Linked DNA regions of Cricetulus griseus. The protein of the gene in region 2 interacts with the protein of the main gene of each other region in a biochemical or structural test. Links are inferred from orthologs where the notes say so. Each region holds a gene or a part of one and is shown on either strand. Other genes may lie near its edges.

The links.
Region 1: the proteins of Tnks (region 2) and Rnf146 form a complex in vitro, tested with the Homo sapiens proteins (3 studies listed by BioGRID and IntAct, with this or other methods). The link is inferred for Cricetulus griseus from reciprocal best matches to the Homo sapiens genes TNKS and RNF146.
Region 3: the proteins of Tnks (region 2) and Tnks1bp1 form a complex in vitro, tested with the Homo sapiens proteins (2 studies listed by BioGRID). The link is inferred for Cricetulus griseus from reciprocal best matches to the Homo sapiens genes TNKS and TNKS1BP1.
Region 4: the proteins of Tnks (region 2) and Axin1 form a complex in vitro, tested with the Homo sapiens proteins (2 studies listed by BioGRID). The link is inferred for Cricetulus griseus from reciprocal best matches to the Homo sapiens genes TNKS and AXIN1.

Annotation. Positions count from the first base shown.
Region 1 is NC_048595.1:247,899,703-247,904,124, reverse strand, and holds the start of Rnf146 (E3 ubiquitin-protein ligase RNF146), read left to right. Parts: upstream 1-1,284; 5' UTR 1,285-1,393; intron 1,394-2,080; exon of another isoform or gene 2,081-2,140; intron 2,141-4,422. UniProt on the Homo sapiens protein: E3 ubiquitin-protein ligase that specifically binds poly-ADP-ribosylated (PARsylated) proteins and mediates their ubiquitination and subsequent degradation. May regulate many important biological processes, such as cell survival and DNA damage response.
Region 2 is NW_023276807.1:50,048,114-50,052,061, forward strand, and holds part of Tnks (poly [ADP-ribose] polymerase tankyrase-1), read left to right. Parts: intron 1-1,690; coding exon 1,691-1,910; intron 1,911-2,332; coding exon 2,333-2,442; intron 2,443-3,948.
Region 3 is NC_048599.1:90,465,272-90,469,219, forward strand, and holds part of Tnks1bp1 (182 kDa tankyrase-1-binding protein), read right to left. Parts: intron 2,113-3,948; coding exon 1,743-2,112; intron 1,497-1,742; coding exon 1,346-1,496; intron 1,238-1,345; coding exon 1,101-1,237; intron 251-1,100; coding exon 93-250; intron 1-92.
Region 4 is NC_048600.1:45,818,243-45,822,190, reverse strand, and holds part of Axin1 (axin-1), read right to left. Parts: intron 2,097-3,948; coding exon 1,989-2,096; intron 749-1,988; coding exon 581-748; intron 1-580. UniProt on the Homo sapiens protein: Component of the beta-catenin destruction complex required for regulating CTNNB1 levels through phosphorylation and ubiquitination, and modulating Wnt-signaling.

The DNA.
Region 1 (4,422 bases), on a different chromosome or scaffold from region 2:
GCAAACAAGAGCCAAATATTTGTTCCGCCCCCACATAGTCGCCATTTACTCTTAATCCCTGTATCATCTGAATTAACATCTTTCTGACTGGAATACAACGTTGAAACCTAGCTGGCCAGTAGCTTCCTTTTTTATTCCCCGTACCCAGTGTGGTACTGGGGATTGGATCCAGATGCTCAAGCATGATAGGCAAACACCCTACCACTAGATACCTAGTTCGTTTTCAATTATAAAACCAACGTTATAGCACCGAAACCTAAACAATATGCTCTGTCACAGTCGCCCAGCTACCCGATGGACTACCCCTACCAAAATATTTGATAATACATTGACGTATAATCTTCCCTTTTTGTGGCTATACAAAGTTCATGTAATAATATTTCCTAGAACAACAGACTGAGTAGCCCGAATCCATGCTCGGGATTCAGTTACTCATGGCTGTCTCCACATGAATTCTTCCTCCTTTCCCTTAAGAGCAGAGGCTGTGCTTTGTAGCTATCATATAAGCACCCGAAACATTTACAGTCCTGGCATTGAGACAGTTAATAAACCTCAAAATGCAACATTGTTGCAAGCACAATGCAACAGTTACAGGAGGCGGAAATACTTTCAAAGGTGACGAGGCCCCGCTAATCCACCTAGTTTAACTACAACTTGAGAAAACTCACTCAGCTCTGTAAAAGACCATGTGTGGGTAAAAACGAACGACTAGATTTTGATGTTTAAAACTGTATGCTTGCCATCAAATGAATCGGCAAAACTTACTCTAGATTCTTAAGTCGATTGATTTCCTCTTCTAGCTTCCTAGGCTGTTAGGGTACAAAAGACTTGTTGAGACCCCCAACACGTCCCCTCCCCCATTAAATTTCCTAGCCATTTGTGAGTGAATAAACTGGAGCATTCCAGGGGACCATCCAGTCCACGCCGAGTCTTTGCAGATGTCTTCTTGATAAGGAACAAGCAGTTAAGGACACTTCAATTGGAAACTTAGGGCTTGGCCCAAGGGCTTCTTGGGGTCAGAAGGCTGGATTTCAGGAGAGCTCCTCTTCCTGGTCCCGGATGTCTAGCTCCCTCGCTCAGTGCTCTCTGGTGGCACCCCACAGTGTCAGAGCCAGGTGGTGATAAGGTGCACAAAGAGCATGGGAGGGATCGCGGCCAGAGAGCCGCCCCGCCGCGGGGAAGGGCAAGAGAGGTCTGCAGGCAGAGCGTGCACCGCCCGCCCGCCAGCCTCCGGCGCCGCGCGCGCGCTCGCCGTGGGGGCGTGGCTTCCGTCGGCGCGGCCCCGCCCCCTCGAGCGCCGGGCGTCACGTGGCGGCCGCGCGCGTCCCCGTCCGCTGCGGGCTCCGAAGCGGAGGAGAAGAGGCTGCGAGGTGGCTGCGGCGGCGGCCGAGAGGTGGGCACCGGCGGGACCGGTGGGGAGCGCGTGTGTCCGAGGGCTGCGGGGCCTCGGCGGGTGGCGCTGCGACCGCGCTGGCTGCGGGGCGGCGCCTGGAGTGGCGGCGAGCGGCGGCGGGTCGGGGCCGGTAGGACAGGGACGCCCTTGGCCAGCGCGGCCCGGACGGGCGCGCGGAGGGAGGCGAGCTGGCGCAGCCCGGAGCGTGACGGGCGCGGCCCCGGCCATTACTACGCAGGCCGGGCTGCGGGCAGCGCCGCGGGGCTCGGCCGGGCTGCGGGCAGCCACGGGCTGCATTCTGTCTGCCGTCTGCGGTGCTGCTGCTGCTGCTGCTGCTGTGCTGTGCTGTGCTGTGCTGTGCTGCTAGCCTGCCCAGCGCCCGGAGCCGTCCCTCCTCCTCGCGCTGGCGGAAGCCGCCGAGTGTTCTTGTTTTGATGGCTCCCAAAACCTGAAACCACCCCGAGGTGTCGGAATACGCGTCGGGGCCTCCCTACCCGGGTGCATCCGAAGATCCCCGTTTCGTTTGTCGCTTTGTTCTGGTTGCTGGGTGTGGAGTTCTCTCCCTTGCCCTCCACCCCATCTAGGAGTGCACGGGATCCTCATTGTTCTGGCTGTCTTATTTTCCTGAGCGGTGTTGTTTTTATTATTATTTTTTTCTTCTTCTTTTTTTTTTTTTTTTCTTTTAAGAGAGAAAGGCATGGTTACGTTGTTTTTGAGGATATGGAAATGGAATCGTCCTCTACTTAGGTAAGAGATTCCGGACTGTGAGTTAGCACACGCATTCTGACAGCTATATTTTGTCTTTTCTCCGGGTGCTGTTTAAGCACTTCTCAAGTTTTCAACATTTTGGGGTTTTTGTTTTGTTTTTGTTGTTTGTTTGTTTTTTAACAGTACCGAAATACTTGACAAGAACTTAGGGAAGAAGAAAGTCAAAGGAGATAGAAAAGGCTTTGTTCATTGATTGACATTTCAGGTGCTAGGGTGTGTTCACCCCCTCCCGCCGTGTGTTTGTGTGTGTGTGTGTGTGTGTGTGTGTGTGTCTGCCTTCCTTGTTTTGTAAACGGGATGTGCACCTGGAACTTGGCTATTGAAAGTTGTATATTGTCATCGAATTTGAGCATGTAGAACATTTCAGTAAATGACCTATATTAGACTTTTTAAAGGACATGGCATATTGAAAACAAATGAAGGAAATGACCCATACAAACTAGCAGCAAAGCTCCTGGGTGCTGTGAAAACACATGAAAATAGGTCACTTAAATCTCATTTTTAAAGAGAAAACTCGAGAGTGACTGCCACACTAAAGGAGTTTGGGATGTGTTTGGGTCTTGGATATGATACAGTGGAACACTTGGGTTTATGTCTCAAATGGGCCTATGTAATGTGGGCAGAATGAAAACCCTTGTGCTTAAATGTTTGAAGATTTCTGTTTTGCTGGTGAAGAACTGAGTAGAGTTGTAATCATGGGAAAACATCCCAAATAGCTGGTCATTAGATAAGAGGAATGCAAAAAAAAAAAAAAAAAATTCTTTTGGGAGACTCGTCAAGTGATAAGAGTCACTTTTGCATTGTTTTCTTTTTTGTTTTTAAAGGATTCAAGATAATTCCTTGACCTGAAAAAACATAATAGGAAGAACTTTTTCATATTCATCTGTTTACGACACATTTTCTGTTAGCCATATATGTGCTTGACGGATTTAACCAGTTGTTACTGATTCTTACAAATATTTTCCTGCAAGAATTAGAGGTAGAAGGTACTGAGTCTTTTTTCTGTCCTCTTGCCCAGTTGGGTTCTTGATAACAGAGGGAATTTGTGGAACTGTTGGCCGGATTAGAAACAGTCTTTCTGAGGATAGACACTATGTCTACACTGGTGTACAGCCTCCTTTGCTAATTTGTACTCTCTCATTCACCTTAGTTAATTAATACAAAGCCTGTTGTTAAAGGCCTCTTAATTAAAACATTTAAAATTGTAGAATCACAGAGGAGAGGGTGAAGCAACAAATACGTAGTGATGACTTGACCAAGGTCTCACATCTTAATTAATAAGAGGACTTTGTTATTTACATAATGGTTGCTGGCCATGAAACCTGATTGATGAGATTAAAGTGTCTGTTGACATTCATATTTCCTGAGTTATTGAAGTAAATGCAAAACCCACTTCGAAGGGAAGAAATTTGAAGATTTACACCTAAATATGAAGACTGTGAAGGCAGTCGGTAGTCATAGGATGATATTGTTTACATTTAACTGAAATTGAGTTTTGACAGAACACTTGTTTCCAATTCGACTTAGCCCTTTTTTTGAAAGCTGATGTGATGAAGTACAAAAGTTACATGCCTGTGAATTTGGGAATCTTTTTTAAGAAATTTCAAGATGTGTGTGTTAAATCCCACCTGACCTCTGCTCTCTTTTCCTGTGTTTATAATAGATACACATGTAGGTAAACTTGTATACAGAGGGAGGTTTGAAGTAGTACCCCATCATTGACACCTTTTTTATACAATATATCCTGTTTTGTGTATTTTGAATAAAGAGTAAACTGTTTCTTTAATTCTTTAAATAGGGAAAACAGAAAGTGTTCAAGCATATATAATTTGATATTTATGTTTTTAATTATGTTTTATATATTCTTGTTTTTCTTTTATTTTTTAAAGGTCAATATTTTATTCAAGTCGGTTATCTAGGGACAGTGGACTTTTAAAAAGTGTAAATGACTTGATAAATGGAATTGCTATTAATCCTAAATCTTTACATCAGGAATTAACAGTGTATCCAAGTAATTGCAGTTTGAATTTCTTTAGTAGTTACACTTTTTAAGTAATAAAATGTGGCTTTATTTTTAAAGTTTTTAAAAATTAACTGGGTTAATTGATAAAGATCTAAGTTCATTACTAATCTGTAATCCTCTTTATAAATACAGTCTACTACTTTTTACTCCACAATTGCTAAGGACCAAATAACCTTGTTTTCATGTTACTTTCTTAATTTGTGTTGAGTTTGGTGTATAATTTAAAAATTATTGTAGG
Region 2 (3,948 bases):
TGTTTCCTACACACATAGCTTGGATTAGTGCCTGGCAGGTCTTTCTCAGTAGATGAAATGGAGGTCATTTCATTAAAGAAGGTTTGGGGGAGAGTTGGCTTAATTTGCATGGCTTATCTAATATAGTATCAATATTAGAAAAAAATGACCTAAGGAACCTTTTCACTCATGGTGCTGTTTGTGATATGGTTATTATTGCTACCATCATAGCTAATGATACTGTTAAATCATACTTAATAAATATCACATACACACTTATGTCATACAAGACATCTATCTGTGTGGGTTTCCCATCTTTTTTGTTTTGTTTTGTTTTGGTTTTGGTTTTTCAAGACAGGGTTTCTCTGTGGCTTTGGAGGCTGTCCTGGAACTAGCTCTTGTAGACCAGGCTGGTCTCGAACTCAGAGATTGCCTGCCTCTGCCTCCCGAGTGCTGGGATTAAAGGCATGCACCACCACCACCACCCGGCTGGTTTCCCATCTTAACCAGAGAAAAATTGTTCTTGTTAAACATAAGTATAATTTATATTTTTATTTGATAAAATAATACCATAAGTATATATGACAAATATTACCACTAGTTAGTTTAAAAAGCAAATCACTGATACATCATTATTAATTCATTATCTAACTTGAATATTGGGGTTTGTTTGTTTAAGATAAAGTCTCACTCTCTAGCCCTAGCTGGCCTAGAACTCATTGAGATCTGCCTGCCTCTGCCCCCCAAATGCTGGAATTAAAGGTGTGTGCCACCATACCTAATTTGTTCCTTAATTTCCACAGTAGGTCAGCAACTATCTATATTGGGGATATAATAAAAATTTTTGGCCTATGGGTATAGGTAATTTTAAATCAAGGTAGTTTTATAAAGCACATTTATATATCCTGAAATACATTTTTTTTTTTCTTTTTGATTTTTTGAGACAGGGTTTTTCTGTGGCTTTAGAGGCTGTCCTGGAACTAGCTCTTGTAGTCCAGGCTGATCTCGAACTCACAGAGATCCACCTGCCTCTGCCTCCCGAGTGCTGGGATTAAAGGTGTGCGCCACCACCGCCCAGCCCCTGAAATACATTTTTAAAACTGTGAGTTTTTTTTTTTTTTTAACTGATGCCATTTAGACTTCAGGTGTTTTGTTTTGTTTTTTCCTACCTGTGTGTGTTCCATTTTTGCTTTCTCATAATGCTGCCTAAATATTTTTATGCAATTTGAGTTGGGGCTATTATTCAGTGGTGGGGTACTTGCCTACCAAGTGTGAGGTCCTAGTTTTATCACTAAAACTGTGTGAGTGTGTGTGTGTGTGTGTGTGTGTGTGTGTGTGTGTGTGTGTGTGTGTGTGTGTGTGTGTTACAATTGAGTCTGGCTGAAATTAACATTACAAAAAATAAAAATAAAAGAGATTTTCAAAGATAACAAAGTCTCAGGAAAAGTTTGTCACAAAAGAACAAAAGATACTCAGTGTCCTCCCAGCATCACTATCGCCTCTTGACCGTGAGGCTTTAGTAGTTAGCAAGATTTTAAATCATTTTTCTAAGTGGCTACGAAATAAAGTGGAATTTAGTTTCCTGTTTTCAAAGTGCATGTAGAATAGATTTCTTTCCTGATAAGTGAAGGTATAGATAGCAAATTAAGTAATGTATATGGTACCTACCCACTTGCAAACACACAGGCACCATTTGGTTTTTGTCTTATAGCATGGAGCAGATCCAACTAAGAAGAACAGAGATGGAAATACACCCCTAGATCTTGTCAAAGAAGGAGACACAGATATTCAGGACTTACTGAGGGGGGATGCTGCCCTGTTGGATGCTGCCAAGAAGGGCTGCCTGGCCAGAGTGCAGAAGCTTTGTACTCCAGAGAATATCAACTGCAGAGACACCCAGGGCAGAAACTCAACTCCTCTACACCTGGCAGGTAAGCATCACTGTGCATCATCTAATTGTCCTTTTTAATGTTCAGTTAAACACTGCTAAACTGTTTGCTAGGTGCTTAACCACTTGGCTTGCAAGGTGAAAGAGGATTGGTGATATAGCCCAGCAAGTAAAGTTGCATGCCACCAAGCTTCACACCTCAAGTTCAATTCCCTGATTTCACGTGATCTACTGAGAATCAACTGCAGATTGTCCTAAGACCTCCAAACTCATGCTTGATGTCTGCAATGCCTGTGAAAGAGATTGGTATATGTTGTACCCTTTAGTAAAGACTCAATTATATGAAGATAGTATTAGCCTTAAAGAAAAAAATTAAAATCTTAAATTTTTCTGGTCTTTATTTGTATGTGTGTGTGAACTGTATTTATTTCTCTGGACCTGACATGTCCCTTTTTACTCTAATAGCAGGCTACAATAACCTGGAAGTAGCTGAATACCTTCTAGAGCATGGAGCTGATGTTAATGCCCAGGACAAAGGAGGCTTAATCCCACTTCACAATGCAGCATCTTATGGGGTGAGCATGTTTCAGTGAACATCTAGAAGCCTTCCCTGGCATTTAATAATTTACTAAATATGTACTACATGGTAAGGAGCAGGTTTCTAACCAGCAGCATAGTTGAGTGCATTTTAACCATCTATGTAAGGTTTGTCGCACCTCCCCATGTAACTTCTTTTTTGATGAACACCCATACTTTTGAAAGTTCTCTGTCTCTTTGCATATTACCTGACACAGTAATTAGTATGGAATGGATCATAAATAAATCTTACCTCTACCCCAGATAGATTTTAGAAATTTTGGTAATTGCTTACATTTATCTCTAGAATCCTAAAAGTGTCAAGCCAAGTAGTTAAGCAATTTGCACACAGTTTAATAGTGTTCAACTGAGGGAGTGAATGTGCAAAGCCATCTTTCCCGTCATGTAACTATATTCACCAGGAAGAGGACGGCACTACAGTGCCTTGATGCCATTGTCAGAACTAGCAGTGACCAAGATGCTCAGGCCTGATGCTTCTCAGTAGAAATAAGTCAGACATGAACAATGTTTCCATGCTTGTCTGCTGTCACACATCTCCCTCTTGGCTATGAAATTCCCAGATAGCAGTTCATGTATACCACGTTCTTAGATGATGTAGTGGCTCCCACTGTTCATTTTCATACAGACCTACTCTCTAGGTATCCACAGCCCTGCTTTCCTTTTCCTACTTGTTTTTTTGTTGTTACACTGCATTATCAAATCCTGGGGTTGAGCTCAGTCTGCTCTTTGCTTTGCATCTGCATTTTTTAAAAAGCTACCTCAATTTTCTCAAATGGAAAAACAAATACATGTTTTAAAATCTTAAAGAAAAGTTACAAGTTTCATGAGAATTTTTGTTTATGATAATGTACCTTATTCAATTTAGTATCCTTTATATTATGTTAGGTATTATTTCTTAATTTGTACATACAAAGGGCAGTTAATTTCTGTGCTATTAATAAATTAAAAGTATTGGTATTTATTCCTTACCCAAATCATGTGATTTTATGAGTAAATCATTTGGCTGATTGGTTTTTTTTCTCCACTTTCTCATTTTGCAGTGATTATATTTGAAAGTTTCATGCCATCATTGTTGTAGAGACAACATAAAGTTAAATGGCGTTAGCTGTAGCCCCTATTTTTCTTCTGTTTCCCGTCTTTTAAAATTGAGTCCCCTTGTCTTTATGCTGTGTTTGTCACTCGCAGCATTTTATGATGCATATGGAATGCTGAAGCCTCATCCAGCTGCCTTTCTACAGGACACTTTGAGGCAGAGTCAGCCCCTTGTCTCGGCTTCTCACTTAGTCCTTTGCTGTTACAGGAGACCAGAACAACGGTGCAGCTTCCTTGTGCATTTAGCCCTCATTTTCAGTTGCTGTTGTTTGTCCTAGTTCCTACCTAAAAAGAATTGAAAACCTAAGAATTGTGTTTCAACTCTACTTGGGTAATACTCCTTCCTCTTCATTGGTCTTTTAGACATTTGCCAGCCAATTTAGCAAGCATGT
Region 3 (3,948 bases), on a different chromosome or scaffold from region 2:
CACAGCCTCAGTTTTCTACTTCTCCAAAGTGGGTTTCCTACTCTCAGGATAATACCTGAAGTTCAGGGGATACCTGGAACTCAGTGACTTACCCTGAGGATTTTTCTGGCTTGGGGGGTAATGTGAGGGGCTTCCCTAGCCCTGGGACCTTGCAGGACTTAGAACGCTGGACGGAGGACTCCTTCTGGCTTGATTTGCTCTCTGTCACCTCCCCCTCCTCAGCTGAGCGATTCCGGGAGCGCAGCTTAGCCTGGGAGATGCAGATGAAAGATGAACAGGCAGTAAGATACACAGGCCAGGCCTTTACCAAGAGGATGCAGCCCCCAGAACCAGGCCGGAACCCCTCTATCAATAGAAAGTCAAAGGTCTGCCTCCCTCAGAGCTGATCCTCATACCTTGAACATCAGAAAGATATTGGAGGAATAAAATTCCATAAACTAGGCTGAACAAAGAGTGATAACTTCCCACACCTATGCTTTTGCCTGTCTATCCTTTCTGCAGGCAATGTCCTTCCCACCCCAGAGCCAACTCCTGTGCCAACCTCAAGGCTAAGAGAAATGGCTTACAAGAAACCCTGCCCAAGCCACCTCCCATTCCCAGCTACAGTCAGGAAATAACTTCTTCAACCAAACAGCCCAGCCCATGGCTGAACTCCCCCCATTTATACCTACACATCTCTCTTCACCAGAGACACTCATGGGCATGGACCATGCCCACCCACCCCCAACCCCTAACTAATATGGTGGAGGCTATGAGATGAAAGAACATCCTGTTTTTTCTTCCAAAAAACTTGGCACACTGAACAAAGTTGAGCAGGGAACAAACGGAACCTTCCAGAATCCTCCTTAGCACAATAAGAAGAGATGGAAGAAGGGACAGATGGATAGATGGATGGACGGATGGATGACAGATAGATGGACAGATGGGTGGGTGGATGGACAGAGAGATGGACAGACAGACAGAAATGCTGGGTGGGTAGATGGATGGACAGACAGACAGATGGACAAAACAGATGGAGGACAGACAGATAGAAAGCAATGCTGGGTGCAAGGCTGGCAGGCCAGATGGCTGATTGTGTATATTGAATGATCAGATTGTACCTTCAAGGCTGATGGGCTCAGGCCAGGAAAGAGGTTGACTTTCAGCCCTTTGGTGCCCAAGGACATCCGTGTCCGGCGGCTCTGAGGCTCCTCCACTACCTCCTCATCTGAAGATGGCACCCGAGAAGTCCTCGGCTCTGCAAATGTCAAGGGGAGGGTATCACAACTTCAACAATATGCCAGAAACCACCCTTACCCACAACCAGACATTGACAGACTCCATTCAATTAATACACTGATCATACCTGTTGAATCTTGGAACAGCCGAGTATCCGAGTCTGCTGTCTCTGACAGACCCAGGGTACCCCCAGGCCGTATGGCTGGGGCCCGGTGTCCCCGCTTACGCCCTAGGTTGGCACGACTCCGATACATAGCACTATCAAGGATCTCAGTGTCCTGCTCAAAAAAAAAAAACCACCAACACCATTTACTATTGCTGAGCCATGCCCTGCTTCACCCCACAGGAGCCCCTCAACACTGAGGAGCTGATGGCTACTGCAGTTTCTTATTGCCATGAGGCACCCGCAGCCTGTGTCCCATGACTGTTCAGAAAAGCGCTGAGAATGGGGCTTTGACCCCATCATCCACATATCCTGACTCCTCCAAAAGCTCATCCACCACCGCAAGTCACCCTCCACTGACCTCTATGAAGGAGAAGTCCTCACTGGGGCAGCTGGGCAGAGGTCCTCTGGGAGGCCGCTGGGGGGGCAGAGCTGACCCCTGCTCATCTTGCCTAGCTCCCCCTGGAAGAGTCCAGGTGCCATCCACCTCTTCTACCTGGCTGGCTTCACCATCGGGCTGAGGCCTCGAGGAAGGCAAAGGGTCTCTGCTAGACTCCTCGGGCTCCCTTTGGCCAGCACCTGCAGTGGTTCCTTCCTCCTCCAACAGAACCCTGAGGCCTGAAGCTGATGATTCCCTTGGAGTAGTTGTCTTTGAGCTACTGGCTGTCATTATCCCTTCCAGAAGGCTCTGGGAGCCAGAAGGTGGGGAGCGAGCCAAGCACCTGCTGGGGCTGCAAAGGGGACAGGCCAGAAATCAAAGTCATTCACCAACCAGTGAGACCTCATTTCTCTTCCCTGAAGCACACAGCACACAAAGCAAGGGCTGAGTCTGCTTGGCTGCTTGGGAGGTCACAAGCTAGGCTTTCTCACATACTACAAGCTGGGTGTCCTTTATCTAAATGCTTGGGTCCGGTTTCAAATTTTAGACCTTTCCAAGTTTTGAAATATTTGCACATGCATAAAAAATGAGCTCTATTTGTGTGTCGATGCATAGGAGTATGTGTAGTGAAATGAACAACCTCAGACACCATTCCCAGTGCACACATGTGCACACCAGTGTGTGTGTGTGTGTGTGTGTGTGTGTGTGTGTCCAAGGACAACTTCTGGGAGTCAGTTCTCTTCTTCTACAAAAGATCAGACTTGGATAGTCACACATTGACAGTAAACACTTTTACCTGCCCAGCTCCCTTTTTCTATTGATAGGATCTTTCACTGGCCTGGAACTTCCATCAAGCAGGCTAGGATGGCAAGCCAGGAAGTCCCAGAAACCTTTCTGTCTTTGCCTCCCCAGCACTGTGATTACAAGTGTGCACACTACCACATGAAGCTTTCCTATTGGGTTCCAGGGACCAAACTCAGATCTGTAAACACTTTACTGACAGAGCTCTCTCTCCAGCCCCATAAGGAGCTATGTGGATAACAAAACCTAAACAAAAATCTCTGTGTCTCATATTTACCTTACACATGTAGACTTAAGGTAATTTGATGGTAATTTTGGTTTACCTGTACTTTGTGACCTGCCACTGGGGCCAGATATGAATTTCTGTGTGATATCATGCTGTGCTCAAAAACTTTCAGATTTGACGGAACTGGAGAGATGACTCAGTGGCTAAGAGGACTGAATGGTCTTCCAGAGAACCCATGTTCAATTCCCAGACCCCACAGGACAGCTAATTCTAGTTCCAGGGAATCTAACACCCTCTTCTGACTTCTACAGACACTGCATGCACATGGTACCCAGCAATACATGCAAACAAACCACCCATACACATAAAACACAAACAAACCACCCATACACATAAAACAAAAAGATAAGTAAATCTGCTAGGCAGTTTTAGCGAATGCCTTTGATCCCAACACTCATGAGGCAGAGGCAGACAGATCTCTGTGAGTTTCAAGACAGCCAGGACTACAAAGAGCAACCTTGTCTTGGGAAAAACAAACAAACAAAAAACCCAAATAAATAAATAAGTAAATCCAAAGAAAATTTTTTTAGAGTTTCACATTTTGGGTTTCAGATCTTTGGGTTAGGATAGATGCCTGTACTTATATCCTTGCACTGTAAATACCCTGTGTTTCTCTACGGAGTCACTAGGGAAGGAAAAAATAAAGACTGTCACCTGTCAGCATAGCGCCCAGCACTCAGGACATCCCAGAAATCACACATATTACTGCTGCTCTAAGTTACTGCGGTTCAAGCCCCATTCAGGAACATGTGCCTAGATAGTCACACTTCCTGGGATAAGCCAAGAGTCAGCCCATCTGCCTCCACTCTCATCTCATCTTCATACCTTAACTCTTTATCCCCAGCCTCACAGATCCTGGGCTTTCCAGAACACACCTGGGCACAACACACGGCCATCTTGGAACAAGTAGCTCCTTGCCCTGACCTGGAAAGTTTCTCAACACCTGTACTTTGATAGCCTCTGCAGAGCCCAGATCATCCTCTGAAGCCATCTTCCTCCCTTCCCAAACTCACACAGCTCTTCAGCTCTGAGAGCTATGGCTATAGGCGCCAACCTACACCGGTTCTAACCTAAAGCTCCAACCACCTTCGATCCTGTGTG
Region 4 (3,948 bases), on a different chromosome or scaffold from region 2:
AGAAAAGCCAGCTCCAGCAAGGGAATGCCTGCCCTTGAACCCCAGGAATTCCTACCTCCCTGCAATGCAGGCTTGTCCCAGCCAGTGAGCTGGGATCTTGGCTGTTGCCTGTTGGGCAGTGGCCACACTTGGGGTAGAACTGGGACCACTGAAAGGGCTGAGTTAACAGTATGTTGAAAATTGCTATAAAACCCCTGGGAATCCCAATCCTGGCTTCTGGTGGGTATGGAGGTTGCTGATAGCCTTCTGAATCAGGAAGAGCAGAGGTCTTGGGTCCCCAGCTCTGCCATCCACATGGGCTGACACCAGGAGGGCTGACAGGCTCCCATGTCACTCAGGTATCAGTAACCTTACTACTGGAGTTTTTGAGCTGGCTGACAAGGAGTGAGAGAGAGGTCTGCGGCTAGAAAAGAGGGCCAGTCCTGATGCTATCCAACCCTGATGTGCCCCAAATAAGAGCAGAAAGCAGCAGCCATGGCTGAGGGAAGTAGGGTGAAGGGGAAGAGAAAAGAGCAGTGGAACAGAAAACCAAATTGCATGCTGGGCAAGTATGCCCTATGGCTGCAGCTTCTCCTCTCACCTGTAGCTCCCCTTCTTGGTTAGCAGCTCCTTGAACTGGCCCAGCGTGACAGCACGGCCCCTCACCAGGGTCCGGTAGGGGATGGGTTCCCCACAGAAATAGTAGGCCACAACAATGCTGTCACATGGGGGTGCACTCCCGCCACCTGCCTTTCTCTGTGATTTTGTCCTGGGACAGAAACAGAGTGGTAAGTAGTGGGCTCAGGCCAAGGTCACACAGAGTACCTCAAAGGTACCATCTACCAATAGAGGACAAGACATCCCAGGGTCAGCATCTCACTCAGCAATGTGGTGTTCACAGGCCCAGCCACCCACCTACCCAAAATCTGGGTGCCAGTCCTGTGTAAACCACTCACTAGAAAATAAGCTAGAGGTCTAGCTCTAAAAGAAGCACTTCACCATCCAGACCACGTAAAGTGGACACAGATACCCACAATAACCAGACCAGGCCTTCGGCTCACAAAGTCCTATCTCCAAAGTTGTAAGGGGGCTGGTCTCAAAACACTGACAAGTCCCAACCTCTCCAAACTTCCATAAGTCTTGAGGAGGGACCAATCAGAGCTGCACAGATCTGGAAAGGAAGTGTCCCTAGGACCAGGATTTCCAAAGCAGATTGGAGGCCTGAGCTGTTTCTTACTCAGGTCCTCAAAGGGCTGTGTAGCTGCTCTGAGTCTGCTCCTGTATTCCTGTACTTTTTAATCACTCCAGAAGCTTCCATAGCTGGCCTCAACCATGGCCACATGGCTGCTTTTTCTTGGCCAAGTAAAATACACGGGGCATTCTGGATGTGTAATTTTCCAGGTTTTCAGACCTTCTTCCAGCAATGGGCTTTTGAAGCTTTCTGGCGGTTAAACCTGGGGAGACCTACTTCTCCAGAACAACTGGAGGGCCATCTGCAGAGGCCCCAAGGCCCAAGGGGGATCCTCATCTTCCTGTCTTGAGTAAGAGCAGGAAGGGCATAGTCAGAAATGCCCCTGACCTAAATGTGGCTATGGCAGGCGGAGGTGCAGAGCCTAAGTCCTGGCTGTAGTCACACCATCCAGATGCTACTATAAAGTTGCCGCAAGTTCCTAGTGCTATTTCAAGGGGACTAGAAATGTGGACCTGATCCTGTGTAGAATGGTAGTGGACCCACCAGTCCCCAGAGCTAGCTCAGAAGCTCAGGAGAATAAAGATGAGATGAAAGGCAAGCTGTGATGCCTGCATGAACCACTTATAGGCCTACTGATCATGTCTACACTGAACAGGCATGATCTCCTCTATTGGGAGACATGAGAGAGAAGCCACAGCAGGCCTTTCTCCAGCCCTGATGCTTCCTAGCTCAGTGACAAAGCCTATCAAATAGGTGCTCCACTTTGGGATTTGGCCTGGGCTGGGCAGAACCAGGAGGACCCACAGGGCGCACGTACTCTGTCTCGGAGAGTTCCAAGTCCGACACGGCTGGTACCACACTCAGCACCGGTGCACATGCTGGCCTGACACAGGTGCGTCCCCGCTGCATGACTGCCTGCACATACCTAGGGAACAACCCGCATCAAAGAAGATGGGGCTCAGCCAGTGTTGTGGACAGTGTGCCCAGATAGGGTGAGCAGCAGGAACTAGCTGCCAACAACTCCCACTCACATATCATCAGAGGCCCTGCCCTAAGTGTCTAGACACAGGGTCAATGCCAGTCTGCTCTTTGGAATACACCCTGGAGAACGGCTGGTCTTGGTGCTACAGGCTCTCTTCACCTCCTGCTCAGATGACTTCTCCAGCTAGAGGTTCTTGGAGAAGGCCTTCCAAGACACCTCCCAGGAATGTGGCTCTTTCTACACAGATTCATCATGACCTCCTGAAGATGATGTGGATACTAGACATGGACAGAAGCAGTGACACTGTTTCTTGGGGAGCTGCTGCCAGCATGACAGAGCCTTTCCAAGAGAACCCTCTACCTGGGTATGCCACTATTGTCCCTAATAGTGACTTTATCTGATATAGTTTAACAGGGCCTGCCAAGGCCTGGGCCTTTCACTGCATACATCTAGACTTGCTTATAAAGTTCCAGACAAATAGACTCAATACATTCAATTTCTTCACACATGAAGATTTTGGAGGCACCAGCTAAGACGTGGTGTGTGTGTGTGTGTGTGTGGGGGCACCAGCTAAGACGTGGTGTGTGTGTGTGTGTGTGTGTTGATGGTATGGGGTGTATGTGTGTGGTGATGGTATTCTCATACCCCAAAACACAAACAAGAAGGGTTTAGCTGATGCTACAGGCCAGGAGAAAACCACAGCTGTTGCCATATGGGGTTTGCCAGGTAATGGTAGGATGAACAGATGCAACCTCTGCATCACAAGAGAATCCTAACTCCCAAAATACCCTACTCCACAAAATAATCCTGCATCCTAGGAACACTGGCTTCTGAGCACACCCTGCCCAGGCCTCTGAGGGCATCATTCCTAGAAGATCCCACATGACACCCTACTCCACTGACTCAGACCCTTGCCAGATACATGCAATGTGTCAGCACCAGAAGGAACACTTCCTGCACAGAACAGGTAGCACAAGTGTATACCATAGCTTACAACAGGTGGCAAAGTGGTCCCTTGTATTTAAGGCAGCTGTGACTTCTTTTGGAGCTCAGAGCCTGGTGTGGGTCCAGGAGACTTTAAGTGACCAGGAAGATGTCTAAGCTCCTGGGGCAATTACAGCCTGACTCTATTAGAGACCATAAGTGCAGAGTCTGCCAGTCAAGAGTTGTAGCATCCCAGGGAAAGAGGACTCTTAGAAGTGAGGTCAGACCCCAGAATGTACACAACCCAAGCTGAATAAAGGAGGTGATAGTTTCAAAGGGCAATAATGGCCTTTGTGTGACCATGGTTCCAGGGACTGGGTAAGAAACAGATCCTAAGCCCTCATGGAGACTATTACCCACTTGGGAATTCCAATAAGCCAGAATGTCCAGGCAAGTGATTCAAAGCCAAAATAAAAGGGTCAGAGAAGGCCTTTTCTGCCTCCAAGAATACTGCTTCCTAAAGAGAGGTCTTTTGAGTTTGGGCAAGGACAGAATAAGCTTGCTGAACTGTGGTGGTGAAGGAGCTGATGTTGATGTTCTTGAGGTTGAGAAGACAGGGAGAGTGGTTGGAGTTGTGGTCACTCCTATAACTGCCTGTGCTTCAGAGTTGTCTATCATCTCCCTGTGGCTGTGCTTTATATGGCTGTCATCAGAAATGGCCAGGATATCTACCAATAGGCCGGGCATGCCCAAAAGCTGTTGGCCATCTGGCCACGTGCTGGTGAGAACATTTAATGGCATAGCCCTCTGTCCTGCAGCAGGGCTACCCAGAATGGCTGTCTTCCCCCTAGGGCCTTCTTCAGGCCTTAAG